Linked DNA regions of Neurospora crassa OR74A. The protein of the gene in region 1 interacts with the protein of each later gene in a biochemical or structural test. Links are inferred from orthologs where the notes say so. Each region holds a gene or a part of one and is shown on either strand. Other genes may lie near its edges.

Region 1 (7,709 bases):
ACCCTTGGATTCCTGGGATCTAAACTTGACCGGAGCTCCAAAATTTCCCTTTGTTAGTAGCTAGAGACTGAAAGAGGGTCAGCCGGGTCGGGTAGCAAAACAACACCCACGTCTCCAAGATAGGGGTTAGCGCGTCTTTGGCAGAGGCCAAGCAAGGGGTGGTAGGTACCTCTAACCAGGTGTCTCTCAGTGTTGGGAACTCGGGGGTTGCATCAGCACCAGCACCAGGGCACCAGCAGGGCAGCGTCCACGGGGCATCAACGGGCATCCAGTTGAAAGCATGGCACAGGGAAGCGATCATGGAAATCCAGCCAGGGTCGACAGGGGCAGGGTAGCCTTGCGGGGGGGGGGGGGGGGGGGCGGAAAAGAAAAGAAAAGAAAAGGAAGAACGGAAGAAGCGAGGACGGGAAGGGGGAATCCACACTAGAGGTAGAAACTGGAATATTCCACCCAGGGGAGGCCAGCAAGGGAAGAAGAGGTCAGTATGTAGTGTAGTATCATGGACTGACCTGATGGACCACGACGACACCCACTGCCTGAGAGGAAAGAAAGTCCAGTGTCAACAATGGAATGGGGAACTGAAATGATCGATGCACACCTGCATGGACGTAGTGTACCTATTTACAAAATCAAGCCAAAGACCCCGCTTTTCCTTTCCCGCCCATTCATCCCGTCTTGACACGGGGTTTGGCCAAACTGAGGTGTCTCACCAAAAGCACAGCAAAGGCACAGTAACCTACAGTGTCTTGTGCCTGCAATCCGGGCGGGGGTTAACATCCAAGACAGTGGGCCCGTGCGGCACAGCGCTGTGTGTACCTATATAGGTATGTATTGTGCGAGTAGTGTACTGTCTCTAACCATCCATTTAGCGCGCCGCACCATGCACACCCTGATGGACTGCAAGGGACAAAGCTCAAGCTCCCATCCCCATCAAAATGATTTGATACACTGTGACGCCCCAACCACGTCCGTCGATTGCACAACATCAAAGCGAGGAGACATCGAGATGAACTGCTTCAGGAACCTATAAAGTTCATTGGGTAGACGATCGGCCGGCCGTGGTAGCCGGTAACCCTTTTTTTCTCTATTTCAATTGTAACTCCAAGCACTAGACACTAGACAACGTCGAACCAGCACCTAGAGAAGAGGTAAGTAGGTAGGTACCTATTCCGGATGAAACTCTGAAACGAAGCGCCGGTAACAGAATTGATCGAAACTGGAGCCACCCTCATTACCGCCCCATGGCACACTACGACTCACATCCCCGACCATAATCACTGCAATATGATATCTGTTAGATCTTATTACTTACCTACTATAGAGGTACCTACCTGCCTTCTATCCATTCAACCAACCTTTTACTTTTTCTGGTATGTACGCAATGTACATACATATAACTAGGTTTTGGTCAGCCGAGATCCGATCGCTGGTCGCATCTGGAAACTTGATTGTTTAACAAAACGAAACATCCGAAGCCATCGCTTGCTGCCTTGGCAAGTCGTATTTTACCATGGACTTTCCACTCATGGTGCATGTTTATGCTTCCGTCCTCCGAGAGAGCACCGCACGAACAACTGAACTCAACGAATGAATGATTCTTTTTCCCGAGAACCGTGCCATCGTGACACCCGCCGGGACTGTGCGCAATTGTAAGAGCAAACTTGTCAGTTGTCACCACTTGAGGAACCTTTTTGAACTCAAGTAGTCTCACAAACAAACAAACAAACAGCGGAGAATTCAATGGGATATTTTTGGCAACTCAAATGTTTGATACTGTAGCTAGGTACACATCCAAGAACTAGAATAAGTGATCGACAACAGACCCATCTAGCTGTCTGTCAACAGAGAGGAAGATCAACTGAACATCAAACATTCCCTCCCGCCTGCCAACCTGCCTCGGCTTGCACATCCGGATGTTTAGCTCCGCCCGTGTAGCCGTCCAAGACCACTTGCAGCGAGGCACTCGAGGCTGAAGTCTGAATGCATAGTGTTGATTGACTTGCTTTTCAGCCTCAAGTAGCAGCCTTCGTATAAACTTTCCGCTTGTATTCAGTTGTTTTGGTAGCGTCCAAAGTCAGCTCCGAAGCCTCTGTGTTCCAGTACCAGAGTGGCTTGCTTGAGTGGCTTGATTGTCCTACGCCACGAGACATGATGCGCGATACATCATACGGAACAATATCGGAAAACACACACAATCACTCAGCGTGACTGGAGAGTTAGGTACATGCCAAATTGGGAGGGAAGCGGCCGTGAATGTTCAGGACAAAGCACCATATATTTTCATACATCAACTCAGCTTCGCTATAGGCAGACTGTTGCGGCTTACCTACACCCGACCAAGCCAGTAACTATATAAGAGCGGCAGTAGCCAACATCCTCACCATCCTCACCATTACCATCATCATCAACCATGGGATAACAAGAGGAAGTGGTAGCAAAAGTAAAAGTGTACTACTCCTAACACAACACACAAAAACGCCATCTAATGCCTCCATCCACACCTACTACCTTTATCCATCCTCCCATCCAATCTTCATTCTTCCTCGTCCTCATCAATTTCTTGGAAAAAGAAAGTGATGCGCTTTGTAAACCCAACATAATAACATGATAAGAATTAAAAAAAAAAAAAAAAAGACTAAAATACAGTTCATAAAGAAAGTGCCTGATTTGATACCTTAACCCCGCTACCCATTAGAATGGTGTTGTTGTGTGATGTGAGATTCATGCTTTTTGTGGTTTGCCCAACTCCCCAAAATCAGAGAAAGATTTCAGGCTTTTGTTTGTTCATAATTGATTTATAAGAACAAGTTATGTCCTGTCCCGCACCTTTACTTACACCCAACCCCCCACTCACTCAACTCACCTCTGCGCTCCTCACGCGGGCACAGGCGGCGGCGGGGCCGGTCCCGGGCCACTGTCACCCGGGGGCGGCACGTCGCCAGGTAGGGGTGGTAGGGGCAGGCCCGGCTCCAGGGTGTCGCTGGGCTTGGGAATAGCCATAGGCCCTGGCGGCACCGAGATGCGATCCTTCAACTTCTCTCCCCGAATCACCCTCTCAACTTCCTTCTTGTCCAGTGTCTCGTACTCGACGAGCGCCTTGGCCAAGTAGTCGAGTTCGTTCCTCTTGGAGGTGAGCAGGTTACGCGCACGCTCGTACGATTCGTCCAGAACTCTCTTCACCTCGGACTCAACCATCGCCCTGGTCTCGGAGCTGAGCTGGTTGTACTTGCGGAGGTACTCAACGGGGCCGAGCTTCTCAGACATGCCGAGCTGAGCAACCATCTGCCAGGCGGTTCTGGTGGCCATGTCAAGATCCTGAATGCCATGTTAGTTAACTCGTCTAATCAAGTGGAACAAGGGGAGGGGAGAACGTACAGCGCTAACACCGCTAGTCACAAGCTCGTTACCATAGACAATCTCCTCAGCGACCTTGCCGCCCATGGCACGGTCAATCATACCCAAGTAATCCCTGACAGTAAACGAGTGCTTGTCCATCTCAGGGAGGTAGGCAGTGTGGCCAAGAGTCTGGCCACGTGGAAGAATGGTGACCTTGTAAAGCGAGCTTGCGCTGTCCTTGGCGTAATATCCGACGAGGGCGTGACCAGCCTCATGATAGGCAGTCATCTCCTTTTCCTTGGCTGTGATAACCATACTACGCTTCTCAGCACCCATGATGACCTTGTCCTTTGCCCATTCGAAATCCTTTTGAGTAACAGCCTGAGCCTTCAACTTGCTGGCGTGAATAGCAGCCTGGTTGACAATGTTCTCCAGCTCGGCACCAGAAAGACCAGAAGTTCTGGAAGCAATAGCCTCCAGGTTGACATCGGCAGCAGCCTTGATGCGCTTGGCGTGGTGCTGGAGAATGGCCATACGGCCGCGGACATCGGGAAGAGAGACAACAACATTGCGATCGAAGCGGCCGGGGCGGGTAAGCGCCTTGTCAAGGGACTCGGGGAAGTTGGTGGCGCCGATGATGATTACACCACTGTTTTGCTCGAAACCGTCCAACTCGGTAAGAAGCTGGTTGAGAGTCTGACGTACGTAGGTAGCGTCCCTGGAGTTACGCCGGCCACCAATAGCATCAAGTTCGTCGATGAAAACAATTGAGGGAGCCTTGGCCTTGGCGGCGGCAAAGAGATCACGAACACGCTTTGCGCCAACGCCAACGTAGACCTCTTCAAACTCGGAACCGGACATGTTGAAGAAGGGAACGCCAGCTTCGCCGGCGACAGCACGAGCCAAAAGAGTTTTACCAGTACCGGGGGGTCCCACGAGCAACACGCCCTTGGGGAGCTTGCCGCCAAGAGTCGAGTACTTCTCAGGGTTGCGCAAAAAGTCGATAAGTTCCTGAAGCTCTTCCTTGGCCTCATCACAGCCGTGGACATCAGCAAAGCGAGCCTTCTGGTTCTCAGGCTTGACCTCGCTGGCCTCAAGCTTGCCACCGGGGCGCTTGATGCTGCTCAAGCCCTCGAAAACCATTGTGATGACGACCATGCTGAGATACGTGAAGAGAGTGAACCACATGAGAAACTTGACCCATCTGAGAGCGGAGCTTCCGAAACTTTCGTCAACTACGATATGCAGAGGACCCGTCTTGGCACCAGCAGCGATCGGCTTGACCATGGCCATGTTTCCACCAGTATGCTGAGCAGCAGCGGCAGTACCAGCGGCATGGATCTGGCTAGCGGTGAAACCGGAGGGGTGATAGCCATTGTTATCGACGGTGTTGTTCGCAGGCGTGTAGGGTTGACCGGTAGACATGGCAAGGGCTTGCTGGTAGATCTGGTCTACCTGCTCGTTCGTGGCGAAACGTCCAGACTGATACCTTTCGATAATGATAGCAGGCATGTTCGCCTTGAGAAGAGCCTGGTAGAAAGCATACTGAGCACCGGCGCTGGTTGGGAACTGGTTGGCAGCGGCCTCGCGAGCAGCCAGGAGGTTGTGCGAGAGACCACCGTTTCCAAAGCTGCGGACCTGGAGAGTGAAACCGAGAGAAGAGTGTACTGGCGAGCGGAAGAAGGACGGAATGCGACCGGGCTGGTGGGTGCTCATGGACCGAAGGGTGTTGACAGTGCCCAGGGGCCTCGACATGAGCGCCGAAAACGAGCGCCGGAAGAGGGGGTTCGCCATGGCGAGCTGGCGGGAAGACATGCTTGAGATTTCCGAAAAGATGTTTGTAGGCGAAGCATTTGCTAGACCCTGAGAGACAACGGGCTGGGGTAGAGGCGCAGTTCTCAGGAAGGCGGGCAGCGCCGAGGAGCTGGAAGCTTCGCGCGCGGGGGAGCTAGCAAGGGTGCGGGAGGCGTTCGAAGATGCTGTCGAGACGTTCGAGTTGTAGGAAAGCCGTTGTTGCGCCTTAAGAGAGGTCGGTAACCCGAAGGGAACGGTCAGGGTTGTCGCGATGGAAGGCCACAACTCGGTGGTTGCCGCCGCGATGGTCTGGCAGGCGCGCGGAGGGGTCAGCTTCATGGAAGAGGACGGCAACTTAAGGTACTAGCTAGTCTAAAAGACGGATTGCGCAAGACTTACCGGCAGCCCACTTGCGTGGAAAGCCATGGTGGATTGTTTACACCCACTCTCTCTCTGTTTGCGACAGACGGATGCGAAGGAGCGGAGATCTCACAATGACCAGGGCAAACCTAAAGTGTTGGTGGTGGAAATGACAGTACAATAGTCAGTGCCAGTCAGTCACTCAGTGGCGGACTGCAGCAGATGCAACTGAGTGGACGCGGCGGCGGCGGCGGAGAACGAAACGGTTGGGTGAGCAAGTTGATTAGCTGATCAAGGGCCATAGTGCCGCCTTAAATGCTGATGCCGCCGTGGCAGGTGGCAGCCGCTTATTCTGTAACGCAGAGTCAGTCGCTGTCAGTGTTCTCGCCACTTTGGACATCTGGCCTCCCGCACTGCTACACTAAAAGCTCGGTGCGCACATTGCCCCACAATGTTACGTAGTTCTTAGTTACCTAGGGAGCAATTATGCACTAACAGGTGCGCCGACAGCGCAGTCTCGACACGTGATTTGGCGTCTTACACGAGGAAAAGTCTCGTCGCGTCACGAAACTCGGTCTGTTCTGTTTGTTCACTTTGTGATTCGAGAGGCTCATGGACTGACTTAATCATAAACAACTTATTCATACACATGTTAGGTTCGAAACATACCTAGCCTACCAGGAGTACAAATACAGCCATTATTTTGAAATTAAGCTCACTTCTCAACAAATCACCACCTCCATTACTGAATCTGAAGAAGAAAAAAAATACAAGTAAACAAATCACCTCCTAAAGTGTGGAAGCCAAGATGAATCGCTCTATAGAACAGGCGCTCTTGTCACTTCTACCAACCCACAACACGACTCTCCCACAACCACTCGTCGATCTCGCCAGCTCACTCCTCGCCCAATCCCGCCATCGTGCAAGCACACTCAAAGCCGAAGAGGAGATTGCACGCACCTATGCCTGCGCCCACCTGGCATGTGACAGGTACGATACTGCATCTCATCATCTCGACTCATGCCTTCACATCTCATCTCGTCTCAGCCTTACTTCACCTTTTGTCTGTGACTATACAAAACCAACACTAACACATGCTCGCAGACTCAAAATAACCCTGAATCTCCCCCCCATCGACCCCCGCCCTCCCATTCCACCACGCATCTACAAGCGCCTCTGCTCCCACCTCTCCAATATCCTCCCCTCCACCTCTTCAACCCCCGGCCGCGGCGGTGGAACCCCCAGAAAAGCAGAACAAACAACCGCCGCCACTCCACGCAGCCAACGGACAGTCAAAACCCCTACCTCTCGACTTCGCGACCAGCAACATCGCGCTGATGACCTCACTGCCTCCCCCTCAGCAGGACGTAGCGCGAGGAGTAATCGATCAGCTGCTACTGGCAGGACGACGACTCCCGGCACTACTACTGGGCCAGGAAAAGAAAAACCCCTTCATCAATTCCGCGGCACACTCTTTCCCCGCAAGGATGGGACTTCCGGAGAAGGAGGAGGATTACCAGGATGGATGAAACCCACCCTCCGCTTTCTGCTCAAAGAACTCGGTCCGTCACACATCGGGCCAGTGGTCATGTCAGGCCTTGAATCCATCGTTGCCCCGCGTGGTCAGCGGACCGAGGACGAGTGGGTGAATGCGAACTTGGTATCACTGTTGGGCGCGCTATACCTGTTGGTCTGGCGCGGAGTTACCTGGCCCGGATCGGATATTGACGAGGGCAAGTACTTAGCGATGAGAAAAAAGGTCGTGGCGGCGCTGAAGAAGGCGAGGGAGAATGTGAAGGTGGCGGTTAAGCTTGGAACTGGTAGGGAGGAGGAAGAGGAGCAGGATGAAGAGAAGGTGTGGGAGGGTTGGGTGGATGATGGCGCGAGGGTGAAGGATTTGAACGCGGCTACATTGCACATTGGAAGGGAGGGGTGGTTGGAGATGGATTGGGCTGCCGGTGTGGAGGATTTGGCGAGAACGGTGTTGGAAAAGGAAGATTATGATGATGCGGCGGAAGATGGACGGGGCTCAGATAAGGTCGATCTATTCCGGGTTGGGCAGGGGGATAGCATGTTCCAGGATCGGTATGATTACTTGGGCGAACGCAAGCAGAAGGAGTATGCGATTTGGAAGCAGGGAATACTGAGGAAGATCAAGGCGCTGGAGAACCCTTCTGCTAGCACCACCGCAACGCCTCGGAAGAGGAAAGTGCCGGAGG
Region 2 (7,262 bases), on another chromosome or scaffold:
CAGAATATCTTCTTCGGTTAATTATTGTAATTTACTTTCTCTTTATCTTTAATAGGTATTTTAATACTTACTACCTTATTACTAGTAATAATAGTAATTGCACCTTAGAGCCTCTCGTATAATTTATAATTAAATATAATTTTATTCCTAAATTATTTAAAATAGGAATTGTACTATATTTTATAATTAATTATTATTATTTATAATAATAAATAAAATAAAAAATAAAGTACTAACCTTAATAAGTTCTATTTAGTCCTCTACTTTATATATATACTTCTCGTTATTATATTAGAGACCTATCCCTATTATTTTACTTAACTATTCCTAATATTTAAATTACTATTTAATAGCTTCGATTAATTTCTTTACTTTAATATAGTTATAGAATTCCTACTCCTCTATTGAATTATAGTTATACTTCTTTAGGAGCTCTTTGAAGATATATTCGAACGCTTCTTAAGAGTATATACTATTTTTATTAAGGTTATTAATATTATAAAGTTACTCGAGAGTAAAGAGTTTAACCTCCGGGGGGGTAATAGCCCGAAGTTTATAATTTCCCTTCCTAACCTTCTTTATTTTAGGGTTTAGTATTATAGCCTTCCTCTTTTTCGTTTTAGGGTTTAGTATTATAGCCTTCCCCTTCTTTATTTTAAGGTTTAGTACTATAGCCTTCCCGGCCTTCTTCATTTTAAGGTTTAATATTATAACTTTTCTAACCGCTTTAACAGCGATTTCGGTAGCTTCCTTAATAGCCGCTTCAAGATTATCTAATTTCTTTTATTCCTCTCCATTGAATTTATCCTAATCGTTATTTTAATTATTATTTTAATTATTATCCTAATCGTTATCCTAATTATTATTCTAATCGTTATCCTTATTATAATTTTCATTATCGTTATTCTAATCGTTATCTTAATTATTATCCTCGCTATAATCTTCATTATCGTTATCCTAGTCGTCTTTATTCTAATCCTCCTCAAAGGACCCGAAATCTAGAATTTAGTTATTAACTAAACGGTTAAATATTACTTAGGAGGCTTCTAAGCAACGGGGCCTATTAGTATTAATATTATTAAAGGAGGGGGATGGTAGTTGGGTAATAATAACCGATTTTTTAGTAGAACCCTTTTTAGTAGATTTATTCTAGGAGGTAATAGGGTTATTAGGTTAGGACTAAGTCCCCTACTTATTTTTTTAATACTTTAAGGTAAAATGAATAGAAGCGCCGCCGAACCTCTTACTAAAAGTGGCGGAGCTAGGCGACGATACCTTTTTATATTTTAGTAGTATAGTAGATAGAGGGTAATAAATTAAATTAATAAATAAAATAATTAATATAATTAACGGCTAACTATTATGTAATCGAGAAAGATAATAGATAAGACTATTAGCGATATATCTTTCTATTTAGTAGCTAATCCTCTACCTTTATACTTCGTTATTATATAGCAATCCCTATTCTTATTACTTTATATTAATATTACGCCTTCCGAATTAGAAACCGAAGTATAGAAGGTATTAACACTATATATAGTATCGTGATATTAATAAACCTTATACTGCAAATGCTAGAATAAGCGGGTACGCCGTATATTGGCCGTATGAGGGGGGTGTAGAAGCTTATACGGCGTATGTGAAAGGTAGTCCGAGCTTTGCCGTATGAAGCTATACGGTAACCTCCTTTGTACGGCAACCGTACGAGAACAAACGCAGCCTAACTACATACACTTTAGTGTGCTGTTCTCCAGAATTGAGGAGAGGGGAACTAGGCCACAGAGCGTCCGTCCCGTTGCAGCTTGACGACAAGACGACATTTGGTCGGCACAGAGGAGATGGTGAGACAAGCGGAACATGCTCATGTGGTCAAGGATGAGTTTCCCCCTCACTTCGCCAAAGACCAGGCATGCACATGTCATGCGCCACACTTGACAAGAGATGATAAAATGGCTTCGCTTCGCCGCCAGGTTCCGCAGTCGCGTTCACCGTGCGAAGAATTCCCACAGCTTCAGCAACCTTTTGTAGGTATCCTCAGACCCCAACTTTGAGCTTCGTAGCGTAGATATGGGCGAGTTCAGGCTCGGCTCATTGTACATATTCTCACCGCTTGATGAAATTTACCTGAGCCGCCTAGAAACATATCAGATTGCGATTCACCCCTTACCATAGCCGACGGACCGAGCTTTTGCCGCGACAAGGCAGCTCCACCTAGAGCCTCCAAGCCAAGTTGTGCGTTTGGGATGGTGGATGTATCAAAACCATAACGATTTGGGGGGGGGGGGGGGGGGGGGGGGCGGGACACATACAAGGCCACCTCAAATTGCCACAACGGCTTGAAAGTAGAAAAGCATGTTGTACCCATCAACTGCGGGTCTTGTTTCATCTTTCATATGCGGGCAAGACATATTCCTCCCTGAACACGAGATCCTTCCCGGGTGGACGTCATAGGCTGACTCTGGCTGAGGCTGCATGTAAGCCCACGATATGTACTGCTGTTGGTGTTTTTGGATTTCCGGGAACACACCAGTGCTTATAAGCACTTAAAAGGCGATGAACACTACTGCAGTAATGAAGAAAGAAGACGTCCGCACCACATCTCACTAACCGCAAATAACCGTCAATGGGAGAAATGGCTCACATCCCAGCACCTTTTTTTTTTTTTTTTTTTTTTCTTCTCACCACAAAGCCATGGCCAAAGTAACGAAGCCTTTCGGTAGTGACACAAGACACGGAGAGATAAAACAGCCCATTGGACATCGGTCCCTACGAGCCAGCGGACATGCCGTCGTTGTACAATACCATACTTTGCACACAGTCAGTCCTTCCCTTCACTTCCCCGCCCTGCTGAATGGTGGGTGATACAGGGACGAATTGCCGGAAACCTAATGGGGAGCAAGACAAAGGCAAAACCTCAGATAGCAGTACCAGTGAGGCTCTTCTATCTACCTATACATAGTAAATGTCTGTTTTTAGTAGTGATCCCTCCAGTTGGCGCCGTCTCCGAGAGGTTGTTGCCCTGTGTTGGATCGTAAGGAGTGATGTCATTCCTCACCGTTGGCGTCGGCTATGGTTGCAGTGAAGACTGTTGGTTGAGCTGCCTGCAGTTGTGCAGTGCAGTGGTAGTGTACAATGTTAAGAGCGAACGTTAGTAGCGCACAGACCTTCTTTGCTACTGTATCCCCCGGTCTTGCCAAGCCTTGCTGCCAAGCGCCAAGCATCGAGCTCTCTGCCGGGCGGTGAATTTTTAGAACTGCAGCTTCAATCCATCCGACTCGTTTCTGCCCGTCGCGCGCAGCGGGCCCTAGGTAGGTACGACATCGACATCTATCCATCCATCCATCCATCCGTTATCGATTCCACCTCTGCCAACCGACCAGGACCTTACATCCATACTACAACTCGAATTTCCTCAAGAGTTCGGAATCATCACCGAACCACAACACCAAATCGACAACAATGGATGGGTAAGCAAGAGAGCAAGGGAAACAACAGTCACCTTGTGTTTTTTTTTGTTTTTTTTTACGACAAGGAGAACAAGACTGGACACCCAAAACTAACGTCATCGTCAAACTTTCCATCAAAACAGACTTACAGCCGCCGAGAGCCGCGAGCTCGACCAGCGCCTTCAGAAGCGCCAGGTCAAGGAGTTTATGAGTGTACGTCGTATATACACACTTTCTTTCTTCGTTACACATTTGCGCCACCAATATTCTTCCATCTTCGAGTCGTCGCTACATCTTAGATCCAAACATAGCTACCGTCATCACCAATCTTTTATCCCCCGGTCTTCCACCATCCATCCCCCAACTATCCCATCTACTCGCACTTACTCGCAACCTGTTTCCCACCCCTCCTCCTCCTCCTCCTTCCTTTCCACCTATTTCCGAACTGGCATACCTCAATTTCCCCATCCATCCATTCTCCCCCTCCAACACCACCCCTCTCCACGCCTCTGCTAGCTCTCCCATCTATCTATCCCAAAACCAACCCACCAAACCTCTTACCAACATTCCCCCTCCCTTCCCTCTCTCTCTTCTTTCTTCTAACAAACAAACGAACAAACAAACAGGTCTTCGGTAACCTCGTAGACAACTGCTTCACCGCCTGCGTCGACGATTTCACCTCCAAGGCCCTTTCCGGCCGCGAGTCGGGCTGCATCAGCCGCTGCGTGCTCAAGTCCATGTCCACCCAGACGCGCCTGGGCGAGCGCTTTGGCGAGCTCAACGCTGCCATGACTGCTGAGATGCAGAGGCGGTAAAATAAAAAAAAACTACACTATACACTGTACTACAAGAAGGAAAGGAGAAAGGGGAAGGAAGGAAGGAAGGAAGGAAGGAAGGAAGGAAGGAAGGAAGGAAGAAGGGTTGAGGGGAAAAAAAAAAAAAAGACAAATGTGTATAAATAGGTTCAGTTCGGGAAATAAATTGGGTTGACGACGATGAGGCAGGTTGCGCATACATGCATGCGTACCATACACACATACATACATACCGTAAAGGATATTGCGAGTGAAGGTGTGCTGGTTGGGTTGCAGAATGAGGTGGTGAGGAATACCGGTTTTCCGTTGTGGATGAATATGGAAAGAAGAAGAAGAAGAAGAAGAAGAAGAAGAAGAAGAAGAAGAAGAAGGGGGGGGAGAGGGGGAAACGGATGGATGGTATTGAATACCTAGGATGGATGGTGTCGAGACGAGTCCTACTTAGTTTCTGCCAGCTTTGGCTAGAGGTAGGGAGGAAAGTTGAAGGTGCTTTTTGTCGACATCTACGGATATGACAATTTTCACAAAAAGCCTTTGAGGGGACAACGGAGGTAGCCGTTGTTGTTGTTGTTGTTGTTGTTGTACCTCTGGTAGTCGTGAAGCGTGATACCTACGGGGAGAGATCTGGTACGTGATGTGAGGTAACGAAAAGAGACTGAAGCGAAGATATTGGCACTAAAAAACGGATTTATACAAAAGTCAAGATGTTGGAATCTGGCTGTGTGCAATAATACAACAAATCTTTCTGCGTGGTTATATTGTGATTTGTGGGATTACATGGACAATAAACCTTCCTCTTACTTGATGACTAGAGGACGGGCGAGTCCCTCACAAAAGAACTTTCGAACTGTACGGTCGTCATGCGCATAGCCACCCAAAAGAACATTTTTCAAGGGAAAACTGTCGAAATGCTATATGAACCTAAAACCGGCAATCACGCCCAAACATCAGCTGTGCAAAGTAACACACCACCTTTTCAATACCGCTTACGACTTGAAGTAAACAAAAACACATAAACTCAGTCTCCTGCTACACTGCCTAGCAATTCAACCATATCCCTTACTTTTACACACAATTATCCATCAGACAGACCGCAGCGTTCCAAAACACATCACCACCTTTCAACATCCACCCCTTTACCATCATCATCACTTCTTTCCCTCAGTGACTGTAAAACACCTTCTACGCACCCTCCTCCGCCTCACCCAACGCCAACACCTCCGCCACACCACTCAACATCTCCACCGCCTTCTCTTCCAACTTATTCTCGCACGCTGACCCTTCCGAAGCTTTCTGGCTCCTCCACTCCATCTCCCTCTGCCCCAAAGGCACCAACCGTTCCCTCAACACCTTCCTGCTCCCCAGCCAAAACTCCACATTCTCCAAAAGATTTTGTCTGGCCTCGTCTTCCCACCCTCCGGTAATCTGCGGGATGTCTCTTGCCGAGTGGCCGCCGACATTGGTCATCCTGATGACTGACAGGACGCGCGTGAGGAGGGCGAGGGAGTGGATTTCCGAAATGGCGGTTAGGGTGATGAAGCCAGACATGTCCTTGTTATTGTTGGGACCACCCGAGATAGAAACGGACTTGGAGGGCGAAAAGGTGCGGTGGGTGCCTGGTGCTTCGAACCGATCCACGGCCGCGCGCAACAGATTGGGGAATTGATTCAGCACGTAAGCGATTTCAGGGGCGATGGTGGCGCCCAAAGCACCGAGCATGTTGAGTAGTAAAGGCAGGATGCCCTTGGCCCATATGGAATAGCAGCGGGCGGCGCCAGCGTTGTCAGCTAGAGGGCCGACGTTGGGGCGGCGCATGAAGCCGGCAAGGTTGGCGGACGTGATGTGGTCTAGCAGGCCGTCGCAGGCGAGCTGCTCCGCGATGGCGGGCATGGCGGAGAGCTCAAGCAGGAAGAGCAAGGAAAGCTCGCCGTAAATTGGGTCGCCAGACTTGTCCGTCAGCTTGTCGGCCCAGGAGAAGAGCGAGGTGGCGACTTGGAACACGTCGTGGCTGGCCATGATGTTGAGGATTTGCACCTGGCACTGGTCAATGCCGGGGACGCTCAGGCAGGCTTGCAGGATCGCGGTGATGAGGGCAAGGTCCTCGGGCGTGGTGGGCGAGGTGGGTTCGTGCACTAGCGCGACGAGGGACCTGAAGGATTGGGCGACGACGCGGTCAAGGATGCTGAGAGTCAGTTGGGTGACGGCCACGGAGCTGCTTTCACCACCGGACTTCGACAAGGTGGAGGCGCCGGGCGCAGGGGCATTGACCGAGTGTCTGGTTCCACGGAGAGCGACGAAGAGGATCTTGAGGAGGGTGCGGAAATAGGAGATCTGATCCTTGTCGAAGGGAACCTCAATGTTATTGATGGCCCTTGTGATGCTGGTGAGCAGCTTGGTGCTGTCCTTAGGCAGGTGAGAAGCATCAGCGAGGCGTTGAAGAAGCGTCAAAGCCAGGTTTGCCCGAGCGTGAACCAAGCGGACGAAGATGTTGTCTGGCGGCTGAGCCCGTTGGTTGGCATCCAGACATTGCTCAGCGACCTGTGCCATCTGCTTGGCGACGGTTTCGTTCTTGGGGAGAAGCGAGACGCTAAGCTCTAGAAGTAGATACTCCCAAGCATGGAAAAGGGCCTTGAATTATTGTTAGTATTTGTTATCGCCCGAGAGGCAACACAGAAAAACTTACAATCTCAGCTTCCACCAAAGACAAGTTCACATTAGCCCTCTCCATCTCATGCTTGAAGCCGTTCTTGCGCGACCCATCCCATGCCACGTCGTAACTGAGCATCAAGTCGGCAAAATCCAAGGCATAGTAAAATTGGGAACCCAGATCACGGGGAACAAGAACTGTCCTCTTGAAATCCTCTACCGAAATCCCCGGGTACCGTTGGCTAAAGTTCTTTGCAAAGTTAGAATGCAACGAGGCGTTGTACCCCGAAACCTCAACTCCGTTACGCAAAAAGTAATCGAGATCGTTCACGACGTCATTCGCAAACTTTTGTGA

The links. The genes of interacting proteins can lie anywhere in the genome.
Region 2: the proteins of iap-1 (region 1) and tim9 form a complex in vitro, tested with the Saccharomyces cerevisiae proteins (2 studies listed by BioGRID, with this or other methods). The link is inferred for Neurospora crassa OR74A from reciprocal best matches to the Saccharomyces cerevisiae genes YME1 and TIM9.

What each region holds. Positions count from the first base shown.
Region 1 is NC_026502.1:976,541-984,249, forward strand, and holds iap-1 (intermembrane space AAA protease IAP-1), read right to left. Parts: upstream 5,757-7,709; 5' UTR 5,557-5,756; coding exon 5,530-5,556; intron 5,440-5,529; coding exon 3,376-5,439; intron 3,316-3,375; coding exon 2,875-3,315; 3' UTR 2,441-2,874; downstream 1-2,440. Other genes in the region: NCU10376 (hypothetical protein), read left to right, coding at 6,299-6,480, 6,595-7,709. UniProt on the Saccharomyces cerevisiae protein: Catalytic subunit of the mitochondrial inner membrane i-AAA protease supercomplex required for mitochondrial inner membrane protein turnover. The protease is probably ATP-dependent. Important to maintain the integrity of the mitochondrial compartment.
Region 2 is NC_026503.1:2,972,024-2,979,285, forward strand, and holds tim9 (mitochondrial import inner membrane translocase subunit tim-9), read left to right. Parts: upstream 1-3,287; 5' UTR 3,288-3,459; coding exon 3,460-3,467; intron 3,468-3,589; coding exon 3,590-3,659; intron 3,660-4,072; coding exon 4,073-4,261; 3' UTR 4,262-4,441; downstream 4,442-7,262. Other genes in the region: NCU00199 (hypothetical protein), read right to left, coding at 5,444-6,889, 6,945-7,262. UniProt on the Saccharomyces cerevisiae protein: Mitochondrial intermembrane chaperone that participates in the import and insertion of multi-pass transmembrane proteins into the mitochondrial inner membrane.